Arabidopsis thaliana: one gene and its partners. The protein of the gene in region 2 interacts with the protein of the main gene of each other region in a pairwise test. Each region holds a gene or a part of one and is shown on either strand. Other genes may lie near its edges.

What was found.
Region 1: the proteins of PUP14 (region 2) and ARGOS interact in a protein complementation assay, tested with the Arabidopsis thaliana proteins (one large-scale study listed by BioGRID).
Region 3: the proteins of PUP14 (region 2) and AT2G22425 interact in a protein complementation assay, tested with the Arabidopsis thaliana proteins (one large-scale study listed by BioGRID).
Region 4: the proteins of PUP14 (region 2) and PGLCT interact in a protein complementation assay, tested with the Arabidopsis thaliana proteins (one large-scale study listed by BioGRID).

The regions. Positions count from the first base shown.
Region 1 is NC_003074.8:22,126,039-22,133,597, reverse strand, and holds ARGOS (auxin-regulated gene involved in organ size), read right to left. Parts: upstream 4,094-7,559; 5' UTR 3,558-4,093; coding exon 3,165-3,557; 3' UTR 3,126-3,164; downstream 1-3,125. Other genes in the region: AT3G59910 (Ankyrin repeat family protein), read left to right, coding at 565-1,169, 1,509-1,941, 2,022-2,819; AT3G59890 (Dihydrodipicolinate reductase, bacterial/plant), read left to right, coding at 7,107-7,120, 7,225-7,444. UniProt on the Arabidopsis thaliana protein: Promotes cell proliferation-dependent organ growth. Takes part in the AXR1-dependent auxin signaling pathway that requires ANT during organogenesis.
Region 2 is NC_003070.9:6,830,325-6,838,273, reverse strand, and holds PUP14 (purine permease 14), read right to left. Parts: upstream 5,950-7,949; 5' UTR 5,849-5,949; coding exon 5,806-5,848; intron 5,711-5,805; coding exon 4,572-5,710; 3' UTR 4,437-4,571; downstream 1-4,436. Other genes in the region: CNGC8 (cyclic nucleotide gated channel 8), read left to right, coding at 1,696-1,742, 1,841-2,432, 2,515-2,727, 2,824-3,137, 3,215-3,563, 3,643-4,389. UniProt on the Arabidopsis thaliana protein: Purine permease implicated in ATP-dependent cytokinin translocation that controls the spatiotemporal landscape of cytokinin signaling. Depletes ligands from the apoplast, which leads to a suppression of the cytokinin response.
Region 3 is NC_003071.7:9,510,425-9,517,878, reverse strand, and holds AT2G22425 (Microsomal signal peptidase 12 kDa subunit (SPC12)), read right to left. Parts: upstream 3,185-7,454; 5' UTR 2,891-3,184; intron 2,807-2,890; 5' UTR 2,801-2,806; coding exon 2,522-2,800; 3' UTR 2,205-2,521; downstream 1-2,204. Other genes in the region: AT2G22426 (uncharacterized protein), read right to left, coding at 650-862; AT2G22420 (Peroxidase superfamily protein), read right to left, coding at 3,395-3,988, 4,060-4,251, 4,335-4,538; SLO1 (SLOW GROWTH 1), read right to left, coding at 6,799-7,454. UniProt on the Arabidopsis thaliana protein: Component of the signal peptidase complex (SPC) which catalyzes the cleavage of N-terminal signal sequences from nascent proteins as they are translocated into the lumen of the endoplasmic reticulum. Dispensable for SPC enzymatic activity.
Region 4 is NC_003076.8:5,270,572-5,279,129, reverse strand, and holds PGLCT (plastidic GLC translocator), read right to left. Parts: upstream 6,655-8,558; 5' UTR 6,477-6,654; exon of another isoform or gene 6,236-6,476; 5' UTR 6,227-6,235; coding exon 5,971-6,226; intron 5,828-5,970; coding exon 5,713-5,827; intron 5,641-5,712; coding exon 5,573-5,640; intron 5,461-5,572; coding exon 5,328-5,460; intron 5,245-5,327; coding exon 5,145-5,244; intron 5,045-5,144; coding exon 4,932-5,044; intron 4,851-4,931; coding exon 4,757-4,850; intron 4,683-4,756; coding exon 4,529-4,682; intron 4,411-4,528; coding exon 4,264-4,410; intron 4,189-4,263; coding exon 4,115-4,188; intron 4,011-4,114; coding exon 3,922-4,010; intron 3,839-3,921; coding exon 3,724-3,838; intron 3,635-3,723; coding exon 3,452-3,634; 3' UTR 3,318-3,451; downstream 1-3,317. Other genes in the region: AT5G16170 (Core-2/I-branching beta-1,6-N-acetylglucosaminyltransferase family protein), read right to left, coding at 1-38, 629-1,204; AT5G16160 (uncharacterized protein), read left to right, coding at 2,554-2,694, 2,894-2,957, 3,038-3,191, 3,275-3,317; AT5G16140 (Peptidyl-tRNA hydrolase family protein), read left to right, coding at 7,613-7,804, 7,884-7,968, 8,052-8,119, 8,209-8,259, 8,335-8,408, 8,485-8,543. UniProt on the Arabidopsis thaliana protein: May be involved in the efflux of glucose towards the cytosol.

The DNA of each region.
Region 1 (7,559 bases), on a different chromosome or scaffold from region 2:
CAGAACCCGATGCACAGGGTTTTTCTCAGCCTCTCTTTCTCTTTCTCTCTCTCTGTCTCAATGGAACTCTTGTCCAGGTTTCACCATTTTCTCTCTCTCTTTTTCTCTTCTATGGTTCATGTGCTGCTTCTTTTGTATAACGCTAATTTCGTTGTTCTTCGCTCTTTTCTGATGCTCGATTCGTTTTTTTCTGATCGGGTGTCCGATTTCGTGTTCACTGTTAATCGAATTGATAGATTTCCGTTTGCTGATGATGATGATTTATTGTTTCATTTTTAGGGTTTGTTGTTGATTTCCTATGCCCATGGTCAAGAGATAGTGCGTTTAAGAGAAGGCATCGAGGATTTACGCTGATTAGAATGAACTGTGTTGGTGGATTTTGATAGGGATCAGTTCCGGGTTTTGAGTTTTGGCCTTTGGTTTTGTAGATTTCGATGATGCAAGGATTGGATTTGCTATATACTTTGTTTAGTGTGTGGTCTGTTGTGCGGATAGCTTTTGGATGAATAAGCTTTGTGTGCTTCTTTTTTTAGTTTGATTTGGAAAGTCACAGACTTGACAAGGATGGAGAAAGAAGGTGTGTGTGATACCATTAATTTAAGTGATCAGATGTACCCTGATGAGCCTTTCTGTTCCGAGATGAAAACTGAAACCATTGCTTCATCTCAGAAATTTGAAGGAGGCGAGGGGAGTAAAGTGGTTTTTTCGAGAGAGGCACCTTTAATAGGAAAGGATTCAGCTGGAACTAATTCGGGAGAATGCTGTGGTTGTAGTGCTAAGAAACTAAATTTTAAAGGGGATGATGATCTCGTTGAGAAGGAAAATATTGAGCAGCAGAAAAAGCTTAATAGGCAAGAAAGAATTGAGTTGGGACGGCTCTTCCAAGGCGCTGTTACCTCACTGGATTGGGAACTTGCTGAGAGATTGATTCAGTTGGCTGATCCTCAGACTTTAAATGATTTGTTGTGTGTTGGTCTAGATTCAGTTTGGTTCTTGAGTACAAAGCCTGAGTTTCAGGGGATCACCGGATTGATTAAGAAGATCATATGTCATGGTGCTCATGACTTTACTAGAGCTACTCTTAGGACTTCGTTTCTCGCTTCTTGTGTCTCTGCTTGCCAGAGCCGGACAATGAGTCTTTCTGATACAGTAACTGTTATGGCTCAAAGGTAATCATGCAATCTTTTAATTTCTCTTTAAGTATAATTCTAAAGCAGATTTGGGGTGCTTAGACTGGTTGGCTGTTTCTATTTTTCCCTGTTTCTTTTTATTTTGCTTCACTCACGGGAACCTTAGGTATATTTGTAGCTGCACAAATTTTTCCTTACTGGTTATAGTGTTTGGTTATATCTGTATGTAATTGGTTGTCAGGATAATCAAATGACACTGCTAGTATTTGTGGGCGCTGATGTTACTAAATGTCATAGACAAAACAATTCCGCTTAAGAAAACTTTAAATCAGTTTGTTTAACATGTGAGTTCATATTTGGTTTGTACATGATGTATAGGTTGCATGAGCGTCTCCAAGAGTGCAACGGGGATGAGATTCTAAAAGCAGAGGCTGGTGCCAAAGTTCAGAAGTTCACTGAATGGGCTCTCAAATGTATAGGTTTCCACTCCCGATGCCAGGGGGCAAAGGATAGAGTTAGCCAAAATTCGGCTGCTGAAATTGAACTACAACTTTCTGCTTTCAAGATGTTCTTAGATCTAGCAGGAAACCATCTCTCAGGAAGAGACTTCACTGAGGCCTTTGATGCAGCTTGTTTCCCGCTCACTCTGTTCTCCAACTCGTTTGATCCTGGCTGGGCATCTGGGATGTCAGCTACTGTTATACAGGGACTGCTCGGTATGCTTGTTGAAGGTGGCGCAGATAATGTGAACCAATGTTTCCTTGAAGCTTCACGTTTTGGTAGTACAGAACTTGTCCGCGTCTTATTGCAGGTAAGCTTCCATTCTTTTGATTGCTTCTAGACTTATAGAAGGTCTCTTTTCGTGCTCAAATATTGTATTTCCTGGAGCAGATTGCCCAAAGGAACAGCTTAGATGTTGATGTGGACTTAGCTCTTGGTTTTGCCTCGCATTATTGTAAAATCGGAACAATGAAGTGCCTAGTGGAAGAAGGTAATGCCATTGCCTTCTTGGGTCCCTTAATGAGAGCAGCAGAGAGAGGTTGCATGCAAGTTGTTCAATGGTTTGTGAAAAGAGGTTGCCGTGACATGGAGCTTTGCTTGGCTCTAACAGCGGCCACTTCAAGTTGCCAAGTCGAGGTAGCTGCTTATCTCCTCCCTCGTGTTCCACCACCTGTCTTAACCGCTCTCAGCATCGAAATCCTCAAAGCAGCAGGAGAAAGAAGCGGAGGGTCTCTCCAAGGAGTAGAGTTTCTTCTCAAATCAGACTTCTTAGGAGATTCCACGGCTACATACTCAGTGGCAGACAGCATCGCAAGGTCATCAGAAGACGAATCCGTTCCTTCAGATCTAAAATCGTTTCTCCAAGAACACTGGTCGGAGTCAGCTTTTGAGAAAGGAATGAGAGAAAGCCATGACGATTTCATGAATTTCATGAGAGTTTTGAAAAAAGGGGAGTCAGCGATATCCTTAAGAGACCTTCCTGCACCGCTAAGAGTAGCAATAGCGTACATGCCGCTGTACAGAGAGTGCATGAAAGCGGACGGTCGGTTACTGTCTCAGAGGCTAAGAGGACAGCTTGTAGAAGCAGTGAGACAGCTTCAAGGCTGTGCTGTTGCAGTTGTGGAAGTAAGCCAGACTCGTAACCTTATGGCGGTTTTGGAGCATCACCTTACCGCCATTTTCGATTGAAACAAATGGATTCTGCTTTTGGGCTTCACTGGTTTTCTAATTTCTACGAATAGTTGAAAATAAGCAAATAAATACTACGATTTAAATTAACGGATATTGGGATTTGGGTTTGAGATGACGAAGTGAGGTTTTTTTTTTTTTTTTGTATAATTTCTTCTTATGATGCTTCTATATTATGTCAGTCTCTTCTCCTCCATTTCTCTTATTGTGCGTTGAAGTATTCTCACATATATATATTATGATAATTTAATGTAATATTTATAACTTACATTTATATTGTATATCAATTTCATTGGATTAAGAACCCTAAGATTAATTAAGATCATCATATAATAAATTTCAGATTTACATGAAATTGCAAGTTACATCTGTATTAGCATTAGAATGAGAAGAAGGCATGAAGGCAAGAACGACGAGTAAAACCATAATCCCAATGGGAACCAATAGCAGCATAAACGGAGGCGGAGGTAACGGCGGCAAAACTAACGGAAGTATTAACAGAGATGCCGTTAGACCAACCAATAGGAACAGAGACTCTAAACTGAAATAATTCGCCGGGATCATCATCCTTTTCTGCGCCGAGAAACTCCGCCGTAACTCTTGCTTGCTTTTCTCCGGCGAACTTCGAAAGCTCATGTTTTTCCGGTTGTTTCTTCCGACGTCCATGACTCGGTTGTTCGAATAACTGTCTTGAATGTTTATAATATCTTTTTGTAAGTTTGAGATTTCTCGAATCATCTACAGAGGTTGTTTTGCTGTGTCTGGTTTGGATTTAGAAGATCAGTGACAAAATTTTGCTCAAAGATCTGATCTTTAGGGCAACTGGTTAACCAATGCAGCTTGATCGAAGCAATTGGTGAAGAATTCGAGACAAAATAAGGATGGCCCACGATTCAGAAACAGAGGATGCAGAACAAATCCGAGTTAACTCAACGATTCAGATGTAAAGGAAGAAGCTTTGAGGTGAAGGAGTTTGAGAAGCTTTGTGTATTGGTTTTGGTTGGATCAAGAAACTGTGTGAAACAAGTACTAGTAGGGAAATGAGGAAGACAAGTAGCAATGAAAGAGGAGAATTTATTAATAAAGGAGTTGGAGGAGAATCAGAAGATATGGGGGGAGAAAGAGAGAGAAGAGGGTTCAGTGAATTTAGGGATTTTCTGATATGTTGAAAAGACGAAAAAGAGGAACGTTTATTATATAAAGGGGCTGACAAATGTGAGGAGAAGCAAGTTGCTGAATTTGAAAGATTTGAATTTCGTGTGGCCTAGTCTTCCTCCACAATCACAAGGTTCTTCTCCCCTGGTCTTCTTTTCTCTTACTTTTTCTACCATTTCTTTTACTTATATAACATATGACGTAAGCTACAATCTCCTCTGATCTGAATATGTAAGTAGTATTTAAATAAATGAGTTTTAAAACCATCTTTTTACCATTCTATAAATTTTTAAGAAAATAATTTTCTAGTTTATTTTGAATCATCCAGTTATTAATATACAGGTTGATTTTTAAAATTTTATAATCAAATATTTGATGCGATGAGGAAATTATTTTTATTAACGTACCTACCAATAATTTTGTCGATGTTTATGGATAAATAAGGACCCATAGTGTTGTTCTTCTCGAAGCACTTCATATGGTGAATGCGCTTGTTCTACCAGGAAATGTTGGGCCAATATATGTATATGCTCTCATATTTCTATATATAAAGCCAAGTTAAATAGCTAGGAATGTTTTTCAAATTAATTCACGATGCTATTTTTATATATTTACGTGTATATGGAGATCGGACATAGTAACGTGACAACACGCTTTGCATGTGAAGTCTTGATGAGAGGATGGTTTTTAATAAAGCCAAGATGTTTATATCGCCAGAGGATGAATTCTCACAGAATGATGAATTAAAGCAAATAGACTTCGCTAGTAACTCAGTCGGAAATCACTTGTTACTTTTAATATATAAATATAGTTAATCCCATAAATATAATTCATGGTTCAATGAATTGAGAAACATATAGGCCATTTCCTTTAGAAACAACGTCAAGTGGTTTTATTAGTTTTTTTCCTGGCCTTTAGATACAAAAAAGCCGATGAGTAGTTTGGGAGAATTGATAGATTACCAATACTACAACACTAGTTATCCACATTAATTGTGCAGCATTACTTTAATTAGGCCAAATTAACAATATACGAAGACTGCAGCTTCAGATATTAAACTATTTGACGTGTACCAACAAAGTTTTTTGCATGGATGACAAACCCTAAATTAATAATTTAGAATGTTTATATCGAAAGATCCGCTAGTTTCTACTCCTACTCTACAGATACGAAAATCGTATATTTAGGGATGAGAAAATGGATCTCCTTGAATCGTTGACCAAAAAAAGGAAAGAAAATTGTCAAATGGATCTTCTCAGCATAAGCTCAACTAAAAAAATCAATTTATTTGTGTTTAGTGTTTGTCTCTACAATCAAGAGAATACTTTTACTAAAATATGGGTTCATAAAAATGTTCACTGAATGTATACACTAGTAACCAAAACTTATTTGGTGCGGTTTAAGATTTATTTTTTATTTAAATAAAAGTACTTCCTTTTAAGTTCTTTGGAAACAAAAGAATTAATCAGTTTAAAATTCAGTTCACTTGTGTGTTTGTTCTTGGATAGATATACAGTATTACGATTAAACATCTCTATTTGTACGTTTTTAATTAGTAATGGAATTTGTTTATTGAAGACTAGATGAGTAAATAATGGTGGAAAGTTAAGATGTAGGTGTGTATATATGGCAACCCATGCATGATTATTGCCTTGAACACCGCACACATTTAGATTGGTGTCCAGTGGACCTGTATCAAAAAGTTCAAGAAAAAAAAGTATTATCATAATATTATTCCCTCTGTCTTACTAATAAGTCAGTCATGTTTAAATATTGCTTCTTCTTGTTTTATATACCCTACTTCTAATTTAATTGATTTTCGACAGTCAATATGCATAGACATATGTTTTGGTCTAATTCTTAGACACTTGATGCATTACAATAATCTCAATAACAAGGTCCATATGCTCAGTTTCATAACGTTCGCGAATTTTAAAGATTTTTGTTTTGGTCAGCTTTTTTAGATTTGATAATATTATTCGATTATTATCTTGTGAAATATTATTCCATTATTATACTAAGTATAATTTGAGAAAAAGATTACTACAGTATAATTTGAGAAAAAGATTACTACAGTATAATTTGGTTGATTTGTAAGGAGAAAGGCGATCGATGAGACACTGAGGATCGAACCACATGTAAACGTCACGTGGCTCTTTGCCTTTGATTCAATGCATGATCTCTCGAGTCTCGACCAAACCAACTTGCCTAATTAATATTCCTCGTACGACTCTTTAATCCCCTTTTTTGTTTGCTTAAAAAAAAAGATTACAAATTATTTTGTTTGTTGTTTTTTTTTTTGTTTTTTTTAATCCCCTTTGATACAAATTATTTTGTTATTGTGGAAATTTAACCCAAATTATTTGAAATTCTTTCCCCGACAAGCATCTCTTATTGTGGTTGGTCTAATAGGATTAATGGTCGTTTTCGTGAGTGATGTTATCATGAAACAAGTTAATTGAAAAGTGTTCATAATTTGGTTTCCAAAATTTAGGAGTATGATTAGGTTCAGAGTATCATAAGTTTGTATGTCTTAGTGACAAAGACAAGAATAGGTATACTTACTTTTATGGGTTAAACCTTTTCATTTTATCAAGCTTTAATTAATTAAAAATCACAGATTGAAAGGGAAATTAAACGAATGACGAGAAAAAAACAATGTATCTGCTGCTTACCTGAGGTCGGTCATTGGGTTCATTGCATTGATCCTAATATACCAAATTTATGGTTCATATTCAATTTTATATTTTTAGCTAGCTCCAACAAAAACAATGTTTCCGTACATTTTCGTTGTCAAAAAAACAAAAGATGATTCATGACCTCTTAATTAAAGTGAAATCCGGACTCTGACCATTAATTAAGGAAAAAGTAGAGAAACTCCGGTTTGATAAATTAATTAAATAGAAATTCCGGTTTGACCATTAAAATGAAGAGAAATTCCGGTTTTCAATTTTAGTAACCTTTCCGGTTTTGGTTGAAACACCCCAACCTTAACCAGAAGCTTTGGATCTGACGTAAAGGGAAAATGTCTAAAACCCTACCGTTCGCCGGTTCGAATTTTTCAGACAAGGTTTGAACATAAATTCTAATTTCGTTGCTCGACAGCAATCTCGGACCAAGTGGAAACCGAAAATGGCGGCGAATGGGTACAGTTTCTAAACTGGATTCACTCTCTTCCGACATTGGTTTGATGAATTGATCTTTAAAGTTGTCATTTTTGTTGTTGTTCTTGTCTGGGATTTGATCACAGGCTAATGGCGGCATCTAGTGTGTTTCTCCACCGTCCTGTACATCCCCATTTCTCGTTCTCTTCTAGAACGAATCAAATGGTTCCACTCGGCTTCAAAGGCCGTGTTAGTTTCATCGGCAATGTGAAACGCTGTTTTCCGGTGGTATTGTCAATGGGAAAGTCGGAGACTTTCGAGGAAGCTGGAAATTCCGTTGCGCCTGGTAACGGCATATCGATCATGGTATCTGATTACTTCCCTAACACTCTTGAGTTGTGACATTTAGCATTTCCATTGATGATTGTGATTTTCCCGGAAATTTATAGATGGAAAGCTGTTGCCTTTTTTTTTTTTTCTA
Region 2 (7,949 bases):
TCGGACAATATGGTGACTGTTCGTACCTAGCTAGGGTTTGTGTACTGATTAACATGCACATCGTACGTTTTAGAGATAAATGAGATATTATCATTAAGTTTTTTTTGGGGATAAACGAGATATTAAATTAATGTCAGAGTTTCAAATTTTGATCTTCTGTTTGTTTACTTTAATGTTTGATCTTCCCAATGTGATCAACATAACTTCTTTTTTTTTTTTTTTCTTTCGAATATGTCTGAATTATTTTCAAAAAGTTTGGTCTTCTATATAAAATAGGGTTTAAAAAATATATTCTAATTTTCTTCTGTATACAAATAGGGTTGGGTTTGATAGTGAATTAGCTTTCTGGCTGGTGATGAACTCGAAGCTACTTTTTCCCAGTTTATCCGTTTGCTTGCCGGATCTAAACAGGAACTTTACTAGGTTTCGTGTTCCATTGAGCAAACAATTTCAAATCTATTTATATATAAGAGAAAAACTTTCTGTTACCCAATCCAATTTCCGCAGTAAAACAGTGGAAACCATCATCATAGTTTACGAATAATTTGTTATGTTTACATTTATGTAATATTAAAAAAAATATTTGTTACCGATATTTTTCTTAACAAGAGAGTAGGTTACTCCCAAATTTCATCACAAAAAGACCTTCAACGCTTGTATCAATTTATGTAAATCCAATCGTATCGTTCTATTCTTTCATTAAAATAAACAAATTTTTAAATTTGAGAAATTTTCAATTGTCGGCGTTTCTTGAATGAGCTTGATCAGTTTCAGTGTATGAGACAATCGGACTAATACTAATCCTTGAAGAAGTTTTGTTGTCGTTCTCACATCACATGGACATGACGACTTATAGCGGACGTTAGGTTTAATTGTTCTGGAGAAGAAACATCAAAATTATGAGGACAACATAGTGCATGTGAAGTATTAACTTTTGTAGATGAATGTAAATGGAAAGTATTCTAGCTAGGGTACTTAAATCTACTAAACTACTTCTCTACAAAATTTTTAGCATTTTAGCTATTTGGATGTAACGTGCATGATGTGACTATCATTGGATGTAGTATTATAGATTAACCTAATCATAATTTTGTAACTTGTTCGATATCATTTTCATATACACATTTGTTTATGAAATGTTTCAAAAGATTTTTTATTTATTTATTTAGAATTTTCTTTTAAAGACCAATTTTTGCCTAGTAACTAGTAAAAAGTAGGTGGACAAAAAAAATACTAAAGAAAAATGGTATTAATTATATCTTTAAAGGCGGTTTGGCAAATTTTGAAAAATGGAAAGAAACAGTTACTTGTTTAATTATTAGAGAAAAATGTGGGAAATTATGTTGGAAATAAAAGGATACAATTGGGTCAAGAAGCATAGTAAAAGTCAATGGTCAATGTATAAAAGACCACATAGAGTTTAAAACATAGGTTTTTGATGCATCCCCCACAAGGCCACAACATCTGTATACCCAATTCGATTATGACTGATATGACATATTATTTATCAAATCCTTTTCCAAAAAGCAAAAAAAAAGGTCTTTACATATAAAACAACGACCTTACGAAAATGTTCGTCCCTTATTTAGTGTTTAAGAAAAGTCTTACATTATATAAACTTTTTTCTTTCTCTTATTCTGACAACAATTTAGCTACTTTGTTTTCTCATCAATATGTGATCCATTCTCCAAGAAAATGTACAAATCTCAATATATAAGTGGCCATAGAGAAAAATTCGTAAGGTAGAAGAACAAAATCAACGAGATCAATCTTTCTTTCACGTTGTTAATTAATTCAGATTTTCTTAGATCTATGAATGTTAATTGTTCTTAAAATACAGATTAGATGATACAGATTCGAGGGTTTCAATGTCATCTAATGCTACGGGAATGAAGAAGCGATCATGTTTTGGATTGTTTAACGTAACTAGTCGTGGAGGAGGAAAGACAAAGAACACATCAAAATCATTTCGAGAAGGTGTTAAAATCGGATCAGAGGGTCTAAAAACGATCGGAAAATCATTCACATCAGGTGTAACAAGAGCTGTTTTCCCTGAAGATCTAAGAGTCTCCGAGAAGAAAATCTTTGATCCTCAAGACAAAACACTTTTATTATGGAACAGAATGTTTGTTATCTCTTGCATTCTTGCTGTCTCTGTTGATCCTCTGTTCTTCTATCTCCCTATTGTCGATAACTCAAAGAACTGCATTGGGATTGACTCTAAATTAGCTGTGACAACTACTACTCTAAGAACGATCATCGATGTTTTTTATCTTACACGAATGGCTCTTCAGTTCCGTACCGCTTACATTGCTCCTTCTTCTCGTGTGTTTGGAAGAGGTGAGCTTGTGATCGACCCTGCAAAGATCGCTGAACGGTATTTGACTCGTTATTTCATTGTCGATTTCCTCGCGGTTCTTCCTTTACCTCAGGTAGTTAATAAAACGCTTCAATCTTTTTTGTTTTGTGCATTGTTTTCAATTGAATAGATGATTCTTGGTGGTGTTGATGCAGATTGCTGTGTGGAAGTTTCTTCACGGATCTAAAGGAACAGATGTATTACCAACAAAACAGGCGCTATTACACATTGTCATCACACAGTACATACCAAGATTCGTTAGGTTTATTCCATTAACTTCAGAGCTCAAGAAAACAGCAGGAGCTTTCGCTGAAGGTGCTTGGGCTGGTGCTGCTTATTACCTCCTCTGGTATATGCTTGCAAGTCACGTAAGCATTTCAAAATTCATCCATCAGCACTAGGTTAAATATCTATTGTTTTTTTTTTTGGTTCTGTTTTTAAGAAATGTTGTTATACTTTGATAGATAACTGGAGCGTTCTGGTACATGTTGTCAGTGGAACGTAACGATACATGCTTGAGATCCGCTTGTAAAGTCCAGCCTGATCCCAAGGTCTGTGTTCAGATTCTTTATTGTGGCAGCAAATTAATGAGCAGTCGCGAAACCGACTGGATCAAATCAGTCCCTGATCTTTTTAAGAACAATTGTTCTGCTAAAAGCGATGAGTCTAAATTCAACTACGGGATCTATAGCCAGGCTGTGTCTTCCGGTATTGTATCTTCGACAACGTTTTTCTCCAAGTTTTGTTATTGTCTATGGTGGGGTCTCCAAAATCTCAGGTACCTTCCTTGGAAAATCGATGAATAGCTGTTAGACTGTGGTGCAATTTTATTGACTTGGGTGTTTTCTTGTATAGCACGTTAGGTCAAGGGCTGCAAACAAGTACATATCCAGGAGAAGTTTTGTTTTCAATTGCAATTGCTGTAGCTGGACTTCTTTTGTTTGCTCTTCTCATTGGGAATATGCAAACTTATCTTCAGTCACTTACGGTTCGCTTAGAGGAAATGAGGATTAAAAGACGTGATTCCGAACAGTGGATGCATCACAGGTCACTTCCACAAAACCTGAGGGAACGAGTCAGACGTTATGATCAATACAAATGGTTGGAAACAAGAGGAGTCGACGAAGAAAACATAGTCCAGAGTTTACCAAAAGATCTTAGAAGAGACATCAAACGCCATCTCTGTCTAAATTTAGTTCGCAGGGTAAGTTTTCAGAAATGTGAATTGCCTAAAGATCCTACACTTCATTCACAAGGAACAATGTTCTTTCTTTTTTTTGCAGGTTCCTCTGTTTGCTAATATGGATGAGAGATTACTAGACGCAATATGTGAGAGACTAAAGCCAAGTCTATACACAGAGAGCACTTACATAGTGCGAGAAGGAGACCCGGTTAACGAAATGCTCTTCATAATCCGAGGCCGGTTAGAGAGTGTAACAACAGATGGTGGAAGAAGCGGTTTCTTTAACAGAGGTTTATTGAAAGAAGGTGACTTTTGTGGTGAAGAGCTTCTGACTTGGGCACTTGACCCTAAAGCAGGCTCAAACTTACCTTCTTCCACACGAACAGTGAAGGCTCTAACTGAAGTAGAGGCTTTCGCTTTAGAAGCGGAAGAGCTCAAGTTTGTGGCTAGTCAGTTCAGGCGTCTTCACAGTCGTCAGGTTCAACAAACTTTCAGGTTTTACTCTCAACAATGGAGGACTTGGGCTGCTTGTTTCATCCAAGCCGCTTGGCGTAGACATTTAAGAAGGAAAATCGCAGAGCTTAGACGTAAAGAAGAAGAAGAAGAAGAAATGGATTATGAAGATGATGAATATTATGATGATAATATGGGTGGTATGGTTACAAGGAGTGATAGTTCTGTTGGATCAAGTTCTACATTACGTTCCACGGTATTTGCATCAAGATTTGCTGCTAACGCGCTTAAGGGTCATAAACTAAGGGTCACCGAGAGTTCAAAGAGTTTAATGAATTTAACAAAGCCATCAGAACCTGACTTTGAGGCTCTTGATACAGATGACTTGAACTAAGTACTTATAGATTGCACACTTCCAAACATTTTCATTGTAAAACATACAAATTTACATCTATAACCAAAGCTGTTACACACTTACACTTACACAAGATAAACACCTAGAATATATGATTAGATATACACACAAAAAATCAAGGGAAATAAAAAAACTTTCTTTAGAGATTCAAGAATCCAAACCTAATAAGCCATACGATTGTCTTTGTGAAGCCTAAAGAAATAAGCTGCAGCGCTTAAGACGGCAGTAACCAAGGCAACACCTTTGAAGGCATCAAACTCATCATCCATGAAATTGAAGAAGATCACCACAAGAACCGACACAATCGGCCACGTAATGACACTGATCACATTCGACAACACGCTCGAAACAGAGTAGACAAGTCCAACAATCCCAACCCAATAGACCTGCCACGAAACAGCTTGACCAACCATAGCCATCACATAAGAACCTTTCCCTTTCGAGAATCCATTCATTTCCCTCTTCAAATCGTGTTGCTCACCGGCTATAAGCAGACCCACGACGGAGATGATCGTAGCAACGAGAGAAGAGAAGATAATAACTTCGAAAACAGAGGCAAAGCTTGGTTTTTGATTGGTTGATTCAGTTCGTTTGAAGATGTAACTGTCGAAGACGTTTTGGATGTTACAGAGAAGAAGAGCGAAACAGATTCCAGCGAACAGAGCAGCCCATGAGCCTCTAGCGTAATTCTCCTCTGCTTCATCAGGCTCACCACCGAATGAAGAAGACAGAGTAAGAGCTCCGGTGATGATAGCTAAGATCACAGAGATAACAACCCATCGATTGAATTTGATTTTGTTAATGAAAGCTGCGAAGATAGGAGTGAAGAAGAGCTGTGCTGTGTAGATCAGAGTGAAAACACCAAATGGGATCTCGAGTTTTCCCATGGCTGCGAGTCTTCCTTGAACGGACATGATAATTCCGATGCAAATGTAGATCACAGCTAAGGATTTTAAGTGGATTGAATCGGAAGTGATCGGAGGTTGTTGATGGTGGTTGCGTTTGTTCTTGGTGATGAAGATGAGGAACGGGAGAAGAAGGAGAGGGAAACCAACAGTTTGGAGAAGAGATTGAGTCCAAACGCCATCGTTTTGACGGTTTTCGTTGTATTCGCTTCGGTTGGTTTTGTCGTAGTAGAAGTTTTCGAGGAGTTTCGCTATGGATTGACCGATGATGACGAAGATGATTGAGATGGTGATGGTTGGCCAGTGGTTTGGTTTCCGGATTGTGTTTCCGGTTTGGTTCATGCGTGTGGTTGAAGAATCACGCTCGATGTTGATAGGTATTTGCACAAATTGTTCTGCAAAAAGAAACAGAGGAAATTAGAATCAAATTGTTTTGTAAGAAGAGGAGATCAAGAAACGAGAGATCTGGTTTGTTGATTCTTATTATTACCTGGAGGTTTGGTCTGGAAAATAGGTTGTTGATTCTGAGCCATGGATTGGAACTGATTGTCGGAGATTCTGAGCGGATTTGAGTTCAATGTATGTCGGCGATTAGATTTGGTAATATGTGATATTTGGAGTGGATGATGTTGTGGGATAAAGGAAAGAGAAGGGTTTATTATATATGGGCACGAAAAGTCTACCCTGGCGGCGTAATGGTCAATCAAGCGAGCCTCATGTCTACGCGTCGTCGTTTTCAACTTGTTCCGGGTTGTTTCGTCATCCAAAAAAGTGTGTAAACAACACTTAGAAGTAACTTATTCTTGTCTTTACAAAATCCAAGCAATAATCGACAAAAGATGATGAGAAATATTTGAGGTTTTGAATCTTGATTGTTTTCTATCAACGAATATTCCGAATTGGATTTATGGTTCGAAGGTTATATAAGGAAATGGTATAGTTAAGTTTAAGTTATATTGACTTTGTTTGTTTTGGGGGTTTGACCTTTGGGATTATCCAACATCCTACGTTTCGGAAATTTTGAACTAACACGATGCCCACTTGGCAGCTCACTACTTGTAATATGATACTCTCTTAAATGCGTGTCTTCTTATGACTTCATCTTAGAATATCATACTTCATGTAAGGATTTTGGTATATGACATTTTATAATGCTCAAGATATAATCCCAAAGGTGCAAGATTAGAATGAACTTGAACTTCGAATCAAATTGTTTGCAATAACTAAACAAATTTTGAACTCAGATTCAATGTTGTTCAACGTAACATTGATCATTTTTCAACCAAATGAGCTTCGAAAGTTTGGATTTTACAAAATAAGAGATTAAGGGTAACAAACAAAGGCAATTTCCTTGGTGCTCATTTGACACATTTTACTTAAGAATCATACAAAATCTCTATGTACACAATTGCCTCGTTTGACTATATAAACGTCCTCACACTGTTTCCACGACGCTATACCCATTATGACCCATAGGCATACATGCTCTCAAATATACACTGGACCCGTAATTAAAATAACATTTTAATACTTAACAAATTAGCATGTCTTGACCAAGAGACTGAAGCAGCCAAAGTTGTCCAGAGCAATAGCTCAAGTAGGCATAACCTATTACTGTGTTAATAGATTCACAAAGGCAAAACAACTATTACTAAACCTTCATGGATTACTCATCTATATAAGTTCTAGACATGTGTTTTGAATTCCCCGGTTCATCATCGGTACAATAGTTTCAGAACTAAAACGCTATGGGGCATTGAATTTGAAACTGTGATCACGCAAACTTCTTAAATAGAACACCCATTAGAACACCCATATGACCCATAGGCATAAAAGCTATCAACTACACTGGACCCATAATTAAAGAACACAGCATATCACCAAATCAACTTGAGGCAGCCTAGCCACAGTTGTCCAGCTTAAGTAGGCATAATCTGTCATGTGTTAATTGAATTCACACAGACAAAGCAACTATTACTAACCTTCATGGATTATACATTTCGGCATATCATCATCTATACCAGTTTTAGACTTTTGTTATAGTTTCAGTACTAAAACGCTATGGGGCAATGAAACTCTGATCAACAAAATTTCTTTAGATAGCATTTCCACAGGCTTTTCAATGAACATGCCACAACTCGAGAAGTGAGGATTTGGTATTAAAAGCCTTAACTTGCATCACTACATTATTCTATGATAATAGAGCCAATAAAGTAAAACCATTCTGTTTGACCAATCCAGTCATATGATCCGATGATCATAGAGGCAACCAATGATTTGGCATTGCAACACCGATTAAGGAAACTTCTTTAGAAATACCTTTCAATGAAAATGCCAACTCAACAAGCATGGATTTAGTACTAAGAACCTTACTTGTATCACTACATTATTCCTTAATCACAAAGGCAATAAAGTAAAACCCAATTCTTAATCAATCCAGCTAAATTTTCCTATGGTCATAGAAACAAAGAAGGATTTGGCATTGAAACTCCAATTAAGCAAAATTTCTTTAGAGAGCATTTCGACAGGCTTTCAATGACAATGCCAACTTGAGACGCAAAGATTTTGTATTAAGAACGATACTTGCATAGTTGCATTATTAGACTATTCTTTGATCATAGAGGCAATCTAGTA
Region 3 (7,454 bases), on a different chromosome or scaffold from region 2:
AAAACTTTCAAAATTCTAATTTGGGAAATTTAGACTTAGTTGCAAATATTCTCTAAATTGCTTAATTCACAGTCAATTTTCATCGAATTTATTTTTTTAGTTTCTTGTTATTTAATATACAACTCAATCTAAGTTAAAATACAAAAAAAAATGATTAATCACAAAGTTTAGGTAAGTGTTAAAAAAAATTGAATACGATTAGTAAGACCCATTGAAGGAGACAGCTTATACGGCTCGTATCGGCTTAAAAGATTAGCTAAGTATAGTATAATTTGTCTTGTCTCGAAGTATATGGCACGTGTCGGTTATTGCAAGTGGTCCAGAGGGAATAGAACGAGTCAGCAATTAATGGGACCTATCTCTTTTTTTGTTTGCAGATATTCAAAGTCAAAAAATTCGGCCTTTTAATAAAAAAAACATTTTTGGCCAAAAAGAAAACTTTATTGCTGGCTAAGAAAAAAGATAAAAACTTTATCATATGCATGTGTCTTTACATATGCACACAACCAGTTTACTTTATATGTAGAGATTTACTAAGAGTTAGACGTGATTAAATTCTTTCTACTTTTTTTTTTTTACTTTAACATCCAATATATTTTTATCAATTTAGTTGTATAATTCCACCGCAAATTCAGTATTTTAACAAGTACTATACATTATAGAGAAAAGAAGAAAGAAGAAAGAAGAAGAGTCGCTGTCGCTCCGGTGAGGATTTGTCTGAGAGCGGCGATGTCTCGTGCTTGAGAATGCTACTTCCCTTTGCTGTCTCCATCAACACTTCCCGCTTCCCACACGCCACGCCAATATCTCTCTTTTCTATCCGTTGATTTCTTTGACTTTTCCACCTCTTTTTTATATGCATTTTAAAAAATAAAAAGAACTTACAAATTTTGTTTACTATCTTGCGGAAAAAAGTATAAACATATAAAACAATTACAAAATTGAATTTTTTTATGTTTTCACTTTTCACTGGTATCTTAGGTCAGATTCTGTAAATTTATGTATCTTGATTGATTATCGTTTTCTTAATTGTTATATCAATACTTATGCTTAGATTTACGTATAAACTACTATAATGTATAATCTCATCGAAGTTAGGATAAGCATATAGATATATTCGTCAATCCCCAAAAATGCTTCGATGGTCAATGTCTCACAGTCTCAGTGAATGCAACAAAGTTACTTAATGAGTGAATAACACAGAGGACAACAGAAGATCTACGTTAAACACGGATCTAGTAAACGTGTCTATTATCTCATGAATATATCAGTCTTGTAAACTTTTTTTTTATATTAATTGTGTGTGAGAAATCACAAAACCTTTATTGTGTTGAATGTTGGACACAAAAATGTGGTATCGTAAAACAATTATTTGATGGGCTTTAAACAGGCCCTTTCATATTTATTGATGGGCTGAAGCTCAAATAAGATCCAAATGAACAGACAAAACCAAACAGAAAAGACTTCTCAATGTCCAATGAAGAATTATGGAGTCAACTTGTTATGTCTTGCGTATGTTTCCCAAATTTTCTTGTCCTATTCTCTTATGGAGTATTAGAGTAATATGCTTATTGTATGGTTTTTCAGGTTCACAACCTTTTACCCAATTCACACAGAAACCTCTTTTCTTGACCACATTGGTAATGACACTAGCCGAGCATTCAAGATATACGTTTGTCATATATACCTTGTATTTGATTTTGTCTCTAGAGTTGACTAGTTTCTTACAATCACTGAATTTTCCTCTATTGTTTATCCACATGATGTATTTTTTTTGCGATACCATGTAGATTTTGGCTATTGCTACTTCCGGAGAGCTCTCTCTTTGTTTGTGAATTTGCTTCATCCTTCTGGTGAAGGTATACTTTTCATATCCTCTGCTTCTTCCTAATGCTGACCTAACTAAACCACTCCTTTTTCTCCACAGCTCATTTACAAGCATCCTGCCAAATGTTGGTTCTCTCAAATTCTGATTCCAAACCTGTACGCGTTCGCTGATTCAACTGTCATTTCGTTTCATAAGCCTATGACCTACCTTTAAGCGTTCGCGTTCGCCAGATGACTCGAATCTCCCGGAATATGAACCCGTGCAAATCCTCTGACCAGCGACTAGCGGAACAGTTTGGAATCACACAAACTATTTCTACTTCGACTCAAGAAAATAAGAAGGAGCAAAGCATCAAAGACTAGCATTGGTTTTTGCACACAAGCTTAACACAGAGTGTAAATGGATGGTGTGATATTTATGTACCATTTTCATAAAAACTGAGACTTTTGTGATTCATAAGACTTTTTCATCTAAAACTCTCTGATGATAGATAATCTACACAATTCAGTGAAATTGCCAGATTACAGCCATAGCCATTGATTCAAAAGCAAATTCCTTTGGCAAAAACAGATAATTATAAGAATCAACCCAGAATATTCAATTCATAATTAAGATTCCGATCCACAAATATCTCATACAAACAATTCTGAGAGAGAGAGAGAGAGAGAGAGAGAGAGAGATTCAGAATCAGACCTATTTCTTAGAGAATTTCTTCTTCGAAGCAACACTGACAACTTCTGGTTTGGGATGCTTCTCGGCTTCGCTCGGATCTAACCATTTGAGAGGATGAAGATTGTAGAAAGGCCAATTAGGTACAGTAACCAAAGTCGTGAGAACAACACCACCGGCATAGATCAGCATCATCGTCCTGAACGATTCCGTTGTGTAGCCAACAACCACCGCTACAACGCCGGAGATCACCAGTAAGATCTGCATCAGCTGCTCCACCAGTTTCTGTCCTTGCCAATCCATTTTCTTCTACACAACGAAATCAAAAACCATTAGCGATTTGAATCCAAAGTTAAACAAAAGAGAGAATCTGAGAACCCTAATTGCACAAACCTTTAGCGATCTGATCTCTCACTGAATCTGTAAACCTGATTTTCAACAATGGGGAAGAAAAGAAAGGACTCTTGACATTTATGAGCTAAGACCACAAAATCGGTTTAAAAGTAAACCGGATAAAGTGGACGGTCAGATTACTCTATAACCGGGTGAACCGGCGGTTTTTAATGTGCCTTAATTATTTCGAGATTTTGTATATGTGCAAATTCTGAAACCTTGAAACAAGGAATATTTACATTTAAGTTTCTTTGTGTGTACCTCAGAATTAGAATGTTGCTACTTGTCCAGTCCATAATTTGTTTATTGGGACAACAACTTCAGTGATTAGATAATGTTTACTATTTTATAGACTGGTGTGACCAGATTGTAGCTTTAGCAGTGACCAGTATTCATAAACCAAAATCAAAGTTTTGGAGAACCAAGATCCATGGCATGTAGCTAAAAAGATTTGCATCAATTTAGAAGTCATAATTAAGATTTCTTCTCTTTACTAATGATAATTCAAGATACAAGCAATACATCAATAGGCCTTCTATTAACAACTCTACAATTAAACCTAATCTCACCAGGTCTCCCAGATTGCAAATCACCCAACTTCACCATGCCTTCTGCAAAAGCCCTAAAGAACTCATCTTGATCCTCACTAAACATCTTCACATACTCTCTCGTCACTAGATTCGTGTACAAAGTCTGATCAGAGTTAAGAAACCCTCTCCCTGAAACCAAGTCTTTGAAATACTGATTATCAAAAACCTGAGGTGTTGCATCTAGATCTCCAGTCACATTCTCATCTCCACCCAAAGGACAAAGCTTATCAAGCTTCTTACGGTAACTCGGTTCAAGAGCTGGATCCGGTTTACCAGAACCGGATTGGTTATAAAGTCTGAACATGATTGAAAAACACCGACCTTGACCTATTGAGTGTGACCCTGATAAAGCAACCATGTCTTTTACAGAAAGATTGAATCTTTCGAAGAGATCAATCAAGAAAGTTGCGTTGGCTCTTGGACTTGGCATTATATCGTCGGAATCTTGCTGACTCGCTGTTAAACTGTCTTTCCTCCCTAGCTTCACTTCCCAATCTGGTCCTCCTGTCTGGTTTTTTCAAAGACCAAAATTACAAAACCGAGATTTCACTAAACCGGGGAAATTGAATTTTGACTTACAAGAGCAACGGCGTCACGAGCGGCCATGATAACGATATCGGCACAAGAAACAGTAGCTGGACAAGCTTTCTCTAGAGCTTCTTTAATGTCGTCAACGACTTCGAAAGATCTTAGTGAATCGATGTTGGAAAGTGATAGTTTTTCACCAAGCATGTTTGGTGTGTCGTCAAGCAACAGAGATGCGTCACATCCCTGAATTTGATGATTCAAAGAAAAATTCAGAGAGGAAAACAGAGTAAAGATCAAGAACAGAGAGAAAGATTTATAGTGTTTACATTGACGAAACAGTCGTGAAATTGGAAACGCATGACGGAAGCGACGCTTCTTGCTTCTTTGATCATTGCTTTCTTCATTTCTCTTCTTACTATGGATTCAGCTTCAGGGCATGTCTCGCTGTAGAATCTTGGTCGGAGAGTTTCTCCAGTAACAACCACCGTCAAAAGTGTTAGGTAGAGGATGAGATGGGGAAGAAGAGACATACTTTTTTCTTTTTTGGTGTTGTGTTTCAGTGATTGAAGAAGAAGTAGAGACTTTGTTTGTTGGGTTATAAAGAGGTTTTTGGTGGTTTTCGAGAATGATACTAAAGGCTTTTGTGTTTATAGATGGAATTTGTGCAAGTGTGGTCTCTGGTGGTGGTGGGCATTCCAATTTCTATAATTTATTTCTTTAATAAATAGAAATAAATAAATAAATAAATAAAGAAATAAATTTTCTAATTATAGAATTGGTGCCAATGGGGGATTAGTGTAGTAATTTGGTAAAATTATGGGTTTGTGAAATTATTGAATGATGAATCTGAAGTAATGTTAAATGTTTGTTAAGTTTGGATTATTGCAGTGTATATTAGCTGGCAAAAATAAAGAAGATAAAAGGATAATTGATCAAATTTTTTTTATAAAGGTGTGAAACTTTTGTACGTAATTGTTAAAATTGGTAAAACATCCATTATACAGTATTTAGATGAACAGTACTACTCTCTTTGTTTATTATTGTATTTTGTAGGAAATTTTTTTGATTCGAAAAGATAGTCATTTTTAAAATTTCTATGCAATATTTATTACTAGTTATTATTGATGTGTAAACTTCAAGAAGAATAATATATTTCTAATCAACTTTTAATATGTTTTTTAAGATGTGTGAAAATCCTAAAAATACATTAATAAGAAACATCTTATGAAAAATAATTACTATTAAAAACATCTTAAGAAAAATCTAAATATATATTCATAACATACAAAAATAATTACTACTCCATATTAATAAGATACATTAATACTAATAGTGATTATTTTTGTATAATATGAATAGTTAGATTTTTGTTATTGTATTCAACAACTAGTTAAATATTTATACAAGAATTTTGTTTATGTAACGTATACAAGAAATAATGCTATAATTAATACTATTGATAACAATAATGAAAAAATTGTACTATTTATGAAATGCGAATGATCTAGCTAGAACCAAACATTAATCCTGGTCAATGTTCATAATCAAATAGTGTAACTAACACACATTTATTGATAGGCTTTTAAAGGTCACGATGAATTTGTGAGTGAATTATTCAACTCTTGATTTTAAACCTAACGTATGGTCAAGGCACTTTTTGACTTTGTAAAAAGCATACAAAACCTTATCTTCACATTCACGTTGGTTGGCCAAATAATTCATACTATATTTTTTTTTACAAAAAAGCATGCATCTTTTATTCATTTATTGTTTAATACTTTAATGTGATCAGTGTCGTCGTAGTGCTCAATGCTATAGTTACTCTACGGCTAATAATTTAAGGATAAAATTAATAAATTAAGATAAAAAGATTAGCAATATAATTCTAAATTATGCATAATTTACTTAAAATTTAGATGTCAATTTTTGTTTTGATTTTTTGTATTTTGTTATATAACAACACTTTAGTGGATAAAATATTATAGTGAGTTGGTGTCTTGAGATAAGAGAATTGTTGTGAGAAAGGGAGGCAACAATTTCAGGCCATTGGTTCATATTTTTTAGCAATCAAACAAGAAATTATCTGAAACTCGAAAAGTGACTGACACTACGGAAGTCGTCATCATCATGACCTTGCGTTCTGAAACTCTAAAAGGTACTGATACGTTGCCGTTTTTAAGAGATTATGTTGTCCCCATCTTTAGTTGTCAATTTTTGGTTGAACCAAAAAAAGAGGTTGTCAATTTTCGTATGCAAATTTATTACACTTCGGAGAAACGGTCACAATTAATTAATACATAGGACTCGGAAGGTATCTAGTTTCCTAAGAAATTTATAGAATTCGAAATCAGGAAATGGGACGCACATGGAGGTCATTGTATTTGAGGTTCACCAAACCAATCCTTACCAAAAGAAGAGAGGATATCAATAAATATTGACCCACATTTTAATTCATTAAATATGGGTTTTTTAATATTCCTTCCGTTTAATAAAGAGTATCATTTTGACATATTCACACAATTTTTTTTAATTATGTATATATTTGTTTCTGTTTAACAAATAATAAATAATTTATTAGTTTTAGGTTAATGTTAAATCAAAAAAACTCAGTGTATAAATCATGTTGAAAAATGTAAAATGACACTCTTAATGTTACTATGTTTTTATTAAACTGGCCAATTAATACACAGGAGATGTCATTTGAGTTTTTTTTTGCCCTCAAACCCATTTCTATACTAGTTTAGACCAAAGATGCCTTAATACAAAACTCAGCAGTTTCATTCAGTCCCATTAGTTATTAGTAATCTCATATTCCGAAAATAGTACACTCAACGAGCTCCTCATATGCCTTCCAAGACAATGTAAGCGATCATAAATTTTCTCAGATTCCGGTCTCGATTTATCCCTAACGATGAACTCACAGACAATTCCATTAACCTCAATGGAACTACAACCAGGAATCTTCTCTACACCTCTCTCGTTCATCATCCTCCTCGCTCTCTTTGCATCTTCCCACATATTAGCCTCTCCATACATGCCATCCAACAACACATAGATCCCGCTATCACTGGGATCAAGTTCGAGAAGTTTCTTAGCCGCTTTCTCTCCCAGCTCAACATTACCGTGCATCCTGCAACCGAATAATAATGCTCCCCAAACCGCAGCATCTGCCTCCATTGGCATACTTTCCATGAGCCTGTCTGCTTCTTCTAATAGCCCGGCTCTCCCTAGCAGATCTACCATTATAGAGTAATGTTTCAATTGAGGGTTTAGGTTGAATCTAGACTTCATCTGAGAGAAATAATCACGGCCTGTTTGGATCATTCCACCATGGCAACATGCTGATAATAGTCCTATGAAAGTGATCTCGTCTGGGGCAATCCCTGCATCAATCATTTCGTTGAAGTATGATATAGCAGTGGATGCATCTCCATGAAGGGCTAAAC
Region 4 (8,558 bases), on a different chromosome or scaffold from region 2:
TCTGCGTCTACCATTGATGATGTTCCCCAATACACCGGCTGATTGACAAAAAGTTTCACAAATCAACATCAATATTATTGTTAAAATAATCTTTAAAAAATTGTTTATACAAATTTAAGCCTTTTAAATTTGTTAGATTTATTGAATTTAGATTTGTTGTCGCTTTTAACTTGAAAATTAGTTAGAATATCTAGAAACTTAATAAACATAAAAAGCATTCCTACGCCCTTTTTCAGTTTATATAACATCTAGAAATTTTATATTGAGATGCATTTTGAAACTGTTCTATGTATTGTTCATTTGTTCTTACAAAAGTTGAGAATAGTCTATCTTTGAATATTATTAACATGATTAAAGAAATGTATTTATGGTAGAATAATATCAAATGGGTTCATGCCTTAATGGACCATTATGCAATTGTCGAATCAAGATCAATGCACGTGCCATGTGAAAAAACCAACCTGTCAAATCGAAGAGATATGTTTGGAAAAGTATAGTGATGTGTTTTTGGAAAACTAGTGATATAATTTCTGATTAGTAGTATACTGATCATATATAGGGGTACCTAAATAGGTTTATTTAAGAAAAGAGAAAGATATAATTAACAAACTAAAGCTGTTATTATCACCTGACTTGGGATTCTTCTTGAATAGAAGACGGAAGTTTCGGGGAAAGAATCTTGAAAAGATGGATTAGTATGAACATATATGGAATAAAACCCTTCATGTCCTTCAAAGAACTTTTCCCACAAGCCAGCCAATGGGAGTCTTCCACCTGTCATGAACATGAAAGCCACCTTCACAGCCATCTTCCCATCATTATTATGTCTCCTCCCTAACCATGATGATGACGATAAGGATGATGTTGGTGATGATAATGACGAGGCCTTGGTGAAGAGTTCTTGATCACTCATGTTGTGTTGAAGTACTTGTAGTTGCAACTCTTGTTTGATATCCATCTCTGTGGTGTGGACCGTGTGGTTGAATAATAAGGTAGACCATAAGGGTTGTCGTTGTGTCGTCGTCGTAGACATGTGTACGGCTTTTAGTTGCAGACAAAGGAAGAGACCAACCGAGAAACCGAATACAAAAAAGAGTGAGCTTAAGACATAACTTCCCTTTTGTAAGAGAATCAATCTCAAGGGCTTTGTGATCATTGGGTACTGTTCTTCTTCTTTCTTGCTCTTATGATCACTAATGCTCATTGTAGAGATAGAGAGGGAGAGGGAGAGAGAGAAAAAGAGAGAGAGAGGTTGTTGTGATCGTTAAGGATTTTGCAACCAGTTGTTATAAATGTGTTATTACAAGTTGTATAAGAAAAAACAAGGTTTTTGGAGTGTATTGGACAACGTCAAAAGGAGCTCTCTTGCAAGTTATATAAATGTATATTAAAAGAGTAGACTTTGGAACGAAGACGTGACCTGTTGACTTTTAGTTGTTCTCAGGTCAATATATGTATATAACGATCATGTGTTAGATACAAAACTTAGGTTTTAGATCTTAACATTTACACGATTTGACGAAATTTTATCTTGCCCATAGGACGGAGTGTAGTAAGAGATTGCAATTTCAAGTAAGGGTGATGATATGTTGTCAAAATAAGCTAAGGGTGGCATGTTGTCAAAATATGTTTTTTTTTCTGTTGCTGTTGAAAATATGAATATTTGAATCTAATCTTAATTTAACCGAATCACATTGAACACCTTGGTGAGAGGTGGATATAACCGAGCAGTTCTGTATTTCAAACCTATACTTGAATGATCTATTGAATTGTTTATCTGTGTGCGTGGGTTCAATTTTGTCTAATTTTTCTTTTTGAAAGTCTAACTTAAACCGAACCAATACAATAGCAAATTAAATAACTCAAACCAAAATAATATCAAATAAAAAAACTAACCTGATTACTCCAAAGTTAAGGAATTCTTCATAAATAACCTGGACGAGTTAATTATTCAAAATGTTGCAGTACTGAGATGGAAGAGAGTGCGAAATGTTCGGTGCTGACCCACAAACCATGGAAGGAACAATATTTCATGCCTAACTTTAGGTGCACTTGACGACACATTGCCAGAACCTTCTTTTTGTTGCTAAATAGTCAAATATGAAGTTTTGATTACAAAAATCATTAATACAGAGAGTAAGCGTTGCGGTCGTGATCGGCATGCTAGATTAGTGGATTTTTAAAGGTCGTAAGGTCTAATTACATTGCTTAGTCAAGGCACAAAAGTAATTAAAGACCAAGCTTGAGAGTTTTACTTGTACTCAAAGCTGTTAGACATAGACCATTTATTTTCGGCACGATCTATGATACATTAATTAAGATTTCTCATTAATATAGTAACTCACTAACGCCAAAAATTCCAAAACAATTGGGTGTAATTGATAATTAGAGAAAGTGTTAGGTCAATTATGTATTAGTTCAAAACATTCGGGTAGTTAGTTAAACTAGCATAATATTTTAGGGTAATTTCGGTATTTAATCCCCCAACAAAAAGGAAAGGAAAGTTTCCGACGTCGGTTTCTTAACATTCTCAAAGTTGCCGACGGAGAAGCCATGGCGACGACGAGGACAAACGAGGAAATTGACAGAGAAGCAGAGGAGAATCGAAAAGAAGCTCTATTAGCTTCAACACTATCTCTTCAACCCAATTTTAATCGATCCAACCTCACCCAGAAACAAATTTCCAAATTACAGGTCAGATTCTTTGCCTCGACTTTTAATGTTTCTGATCTTCAGATATCCCAATGAGATTGTAAGCACGACTTCGTATAATCATCTTGATTCGAATTTCTATCAACTGTTCAATCCAGTTTTTTTTTTTTTTCTTTCAACCGAATTACTATGTACATAGCAATTTGAATTTGAAGCCATTTTGGTTGTGTTGAGATTACAGGAGCTACACAAGAGACGTATGCAAATAAAAGCTAATGCAAAGATTCATAAGAAGAAACCTAAAGGTATATATATATTTAGCTCTCTTTTTTTGAGAATTCTCAGTTCATATTCACTAGACTAAAAGCTCTACACTGAAATGCAGCGAGCAAGAATTCTCAGAGTAAAGCGATCGAAGATGGCGAAAGCTCTAAAAAGTTGAAAGAACCAACTTCTTCTTCTTCTTCTACCTTAGAAGAACAGAATCATAACAAGACAGTAGTCACAGTACCGAAGAAGCCACAAAAACTGTTTTGGGGGTGAGCTTATTTCGCTAATTTTAGAATTCTTTTTCATATTGAGAAAACCGTGCTAATGCCATGCTTTTTTTGTTTTGAAACAGGCTAGATACCAGGGAGAGGTGGGAAAGGAAAGCCAACATGTAGTGGTCATGAAAAGATTTCTCGTTATTGATAACGTCGTCCATTGTACAATTTAAGAGTAGCAGATTAGAGAAAGACTCACAAACTAAATGATGAAACAAACTGGTTTTTGTTCTGCTGATTTCTTTTGTTTAATTTCAAGCTCCAGATGTAAGAGCAAGCTCTATTTCCTCCAGTGATCGACCTTTAGTCTCGACGACGTTTCCTGCAATGTAGAGGACCGCAAGGACGCAGACTCCAGCAAAACCCAAGTAGACACTGCTGATTCCGAATTTAGTCACAACGCTTAAGAAGTATAGTCCGATCACAAAGTTTGATATCTGTTAGGGCAAAAGAGAAACAAAACATTAGAAACAGAGAGAAGAAACTCTGTTCTGAACCCATAAAACCTATAGATATATGTATATACCCAGTGCATGCCGAGAGAAAGAGCGACGGCTTTTGCTCTGATTCGGGATGCAAATATCTCTGGAAGAAGAAGAGCCGGTACCGGGCCAGCACCAAGTGAGAATGACAGGACATATCTGATTTAAACAACCGAGCATAAGAGTCAGTCAAGTCCTATACAGAGAGACTATAAGGAAGTGTTAAGAGGAGATTGACTTACAGAACAGTTCCAACAACGGCAAGGGTTCCAGAATAGGCAGCAAGAGCCTTCCATGTGAAGGACAAGGAGAGTAACAGCATTGACAAAGCCTTTTCAATACAAAACCATAAAATCCAAGTTAGTCCTGTTGTGGTAATACTAATGAGGGTTGAGATTTTCGAATATGGCTAAGAATTTTAATAAAAACATGTACCATTCCACCAAAGCTTGTCAGTAAAAGACTTTTCCTTCCCATTTTATCCATCAACGATGAAGCAACAGCAGTGCCTGCGACCAGATTTTTATCGTGTTATTTTTTTGGTTATTTTTGGAATTTAATGAGAACATAACGGGGAAACGAACCAAAGACATTTGATGCTCCAACGAGAGCACTGGCTGCAACATCTGATTGGATTCCCGCACTACGGAATACCGATGTGGAGTAATACACAACTGCGTTTATCCCGGCTAACTGTTGAAACAAGAAGAGAGCCGCACCTACGCTTACAACTACAACAAGAACAGACAAGAAACTATGTAAATTGATCAATCCGATATGACCTTTGAAAGGAATCCGTCAGCTTTTATTACAAACTAAACAATGTATCTCCACCAAGTCTTGCTATACCTTTCCAGTAGCGGCTGCTGAATAGATCAAACCATCCTGCCTCCGGCTCAGAAGAACCTTGGCCAGAGGCTGATAAGTCGCGAACTAGTTCAACCACTCTTTCTTTACCATACAAAGTTTTGATCGCCTTTTCAGCTTCAGAGACTTTTCCTTGCTGCAAAATTGATTTCCTTGACTTGTCAAAAATTGATCTCATTTTAAGTGTTGAGATCTGTTCCTTGAGAGTACCTGAACGAGCCACCTTGGGCTTTCTGGAGAAAAAGCCATTCCTATGGCCAATAGAACGGAAGGGATAACTGCAACACCAAACATCGTCCTCCACCTAGAAGACCACGATATCAAAACTTATCACAGTATGCAACCCAAAATAAAAGATGATGAATAAAAAAGGGATGTTACATACCATAGAGGGTTTGCTGCAAGGGGTAATCCAGCTATCAAGGCTGCAAGTATTCCTATACAGATGAACAACTGGTTCACAGATCCGAGTGCTCCACGGATTTCAGTTGGTGATATCTGACAACCATCATCAAACGCTTCAGAGACATAACATATAAACAAATCTAACATCTTATGCTAAAAGTGCAAAAATAATGAAAATCAGTATTTAAACAACCTCAGATATGTAAAGTGGTACAATCGCTGATGAGATTCCAATTCCAATTCCAGCGAGCAGACGTCCCACAATCATAGTCTGCACACTCTGAGCTGTTGCACTAATCAATAAAAAAAGAACCAATGCGTTAAGAAATCAATTAACGTCTCACCAATAGGTATGGCTTAGTGCTTGAAAATTTACCATAAGAAAGCTCCAATGGCAAGCGGGATAGCATCCAATTGAAAAGTTCTTGTTCGTCCAAATTTGTCAGCTAATGCACCTCCAGTGAATGAACCTACCGTAGCACCAGCAAGCAGAGAACTAACAATCCATCCTGCTCAACACCAATCATAGAGAATACCAATTATGAGTTTGGCTACTAATCAAAACACGAATCATTTTACCGTTGACAGGAGGAGTAAAGAAGTGGATCATCATATACTTGCCTTGCAAAACAGTATTTTCGGCGATCCCAAGATCCTTAGCAAGATATTCAAGAGCACCATTAACCACCCTGATTCAGTCCAATAGAACATCATCATCCATGATCACACCAAGATAAAAACAGTGTAGTATTTAGTCATACCCGAGATGATAACCAAAGAGTATAGCACCAAGACAAGCAACACCAACAAAAGGCAAAACTGTTCCAGAGCTTTTCCCTTCAGATCTCAGAGGTATAGCTTCTTCTTCATCTCCATCTACATTTCATTCCTCAAACCATCAGATGATTAGTCCAAATCCCAAACTATACATTAGATTCTTCAAATTGTATTTAAGAACTTGTAAGCAATCACAGAATCTAATGATAGACAAAGATAGAAGAGCATTAGAAGAGACGAACCAGATGAGGCTTGAGCTCTGACCGATCGAGCTTTGACAGAAGAGAAACTCATAACGCTCTGGATCCCGTTATCAGCACGAGCAAGCGTCGCTCCCATGGCTTCAGAACCAGAACAGTAGAGTGGCCCGGTGGTGGCTAAGCTCTTATAACCAGCGAAGCGAATTCCGGTAGAAGTCGTCGATCTGTCAGAAGAGAAGGTCCGTCTCTGAAACGCAAACGCAGCGTTTCCTTTAACCGCATACGTTGACGACTGCATTTTGTCTGACTTTTTATAACCGTAATTGCAAGGAAACGAGAAATATTAGGCAAGGAAGGAAAAAAAAGGATCGCATTTATACCAAACAGAACTCAAAAAGAGAGAAGTAAGGAACGATGAAGACGCAACATCACGAAATTGGGAAATATGTTGCATTGATGCGAACGAGAGAGTAAAAACGCTCTTCTCGATCGCGGCTGATTAACAAAAATCGTGATATCCAAAGCAAAACTTCAGATTTGAAAATTACCAGAGAAACTTCGGAGACTCCGCGATTTGAGAGAGAGGATAGTGAGGGCTTAAACCAGATAGATTGTGATTGCTGAGAAGAACTCACTGTGGAGCTTATTGTCGTTTAAAAAAAAAAATTAAAACGCACCAAAAAATAAATAATGCAATTTTGTTTCCTTATTAGTTTTGGATTTTTGTGTAATAATTCATATTTATCCAAAACCATACGGAAAATAGAGTATTTTCATTTCTTATTTTAAAGAAATCATGAAATTTAATGCATGTGATGCAACTTTCAATTTTGGATTGGTAATTTTGTAATATTTGCTAGGAAATTTGAATAAATCAACCAGTATCAACTAAATCGAACTAAGTGGCGGGACTAATTAGGAAATTTTTTTGAGTTTATAAATTGAGAAAATTATTTACAATTATTATTCGACATAAATTAGTCGATAAAAGGGTAAGAAAAAAAGAAGTAAAAGAGTTACGTAAGAGCCGCAGGATTGGCGATTTGGCAACGTTGGATTTTCTGGATTAGATTTTGGATGACGTATATAGCCGCACGTGTTATTCAATAGTACTCACGTGCCGCCATTGAGCATAGTAACGGTGACGTATAAAAATCATAGTAACTTGGGCCACTATTATTTAACCCATCATTTTTGTGGGCTAATATTAGTAAGCCCATTAATACAAAACGGGACCAATTTCTAACATCTTCGTCTCAGTATTTCATCGTTCTACTTCTATCTCGTTCCAACGTCTTCGCAAAAGAAAATTCCGAAATTGTTTCGAAAAATCCTGAAGAAGAAGAGGTAAGCTATTTTCCTTCTCACTTATCCTTCTTCTACTGAAAATTTATAACATAATATAAACCACAAATACATTTTTGTGTAATCCTTGTAGCTCATTGCTAATCTCTGATTCTCCAGAAATTTTGCTGAGTCCTCTGTTCGATTACACTTCAATTATTTTTTATCTGCGCTGTATCTCTGTTAATGGGTTTCATTAAGTTTTGATTCTCAGTTGTTATATGATTTCGAATTTCATTATATCCTGAAAAGCTTTTATCTTTATGTATATTCCAAGTATTGAATCTCAAAGTTTCTAGTCATTTCAATTTCAATAGGTCTTTGAATCAACAACAGTTCCATGTTGTGCCCAACGTATACACCAAGTGTTTACCATTTTCAAACGCAAAAGCCAGTTTTCCGGAAACAGAGGTTTCGGGTTTGTTCATCTACTTCTGGTGGTGAGGATGATAGATTCAAAGTAGAGTACACTCCTTGGCTTATCGTTGGGTTGGGCAATCCAGGAAACAAGTATCATGGAACAAGACACAATGTAATGATACACAATCTTTTTCTTTTACTTAATTGCTGGATTTGATCTTGGCAATGCTACAACTTTGTGTTGTTTTCAGGTTGGTTTCGAGATGATCGATGTGTTGGCTAGAAAAGAAGGGGTGTTGATGAACACTATACAGTCCAAAGCTCTAATCGGAATAGGTTCTACTTCTCTTGCTTTGGTTCTTTGGTTTGAAGAATAATAAAACTGATGACTTTTTGGTTCTATGTATGAATCAGTACAGGTGCTATTGAAGATGTACCTATCTTGTTGGCTAAACCTCAGACTTATATGAACTTCAGCGGCGAATCGGTTTGTATTTTCTGTTCATAACTTTGCAAAGATCAGCTGCGTGATCAAATAATCATCATACCTGAAACTGTTCTGTTGTCGTTTTAAAGGTTGGATCTCTAGCTTCACACTATCGAGTACCATTGCGCCACATTTTAATGGTAAAGTCACTGACTTAAGCATCCCTTGAATCCAGAACTATGTTCCATATGAACACTTTTGTTTCTCTCTACTAGATTTACGATGAGATGGCTTTACCAAATGGGGTTTTGAGACTTCAACCGAAAGGAGGTCAAGGCTATCACAACGGGTATGAATATACCTCTTGAACATCTAAATGTGTTCTATGATATATTAACTGATGTCACCTTTTATATCTGTTACAGAGTGAAGAGTGTAATGGGGCATTTGGATGGTCGTCGAAACTTTCCTCGTTTAAGCATAGGTACGGTTTTGGTTT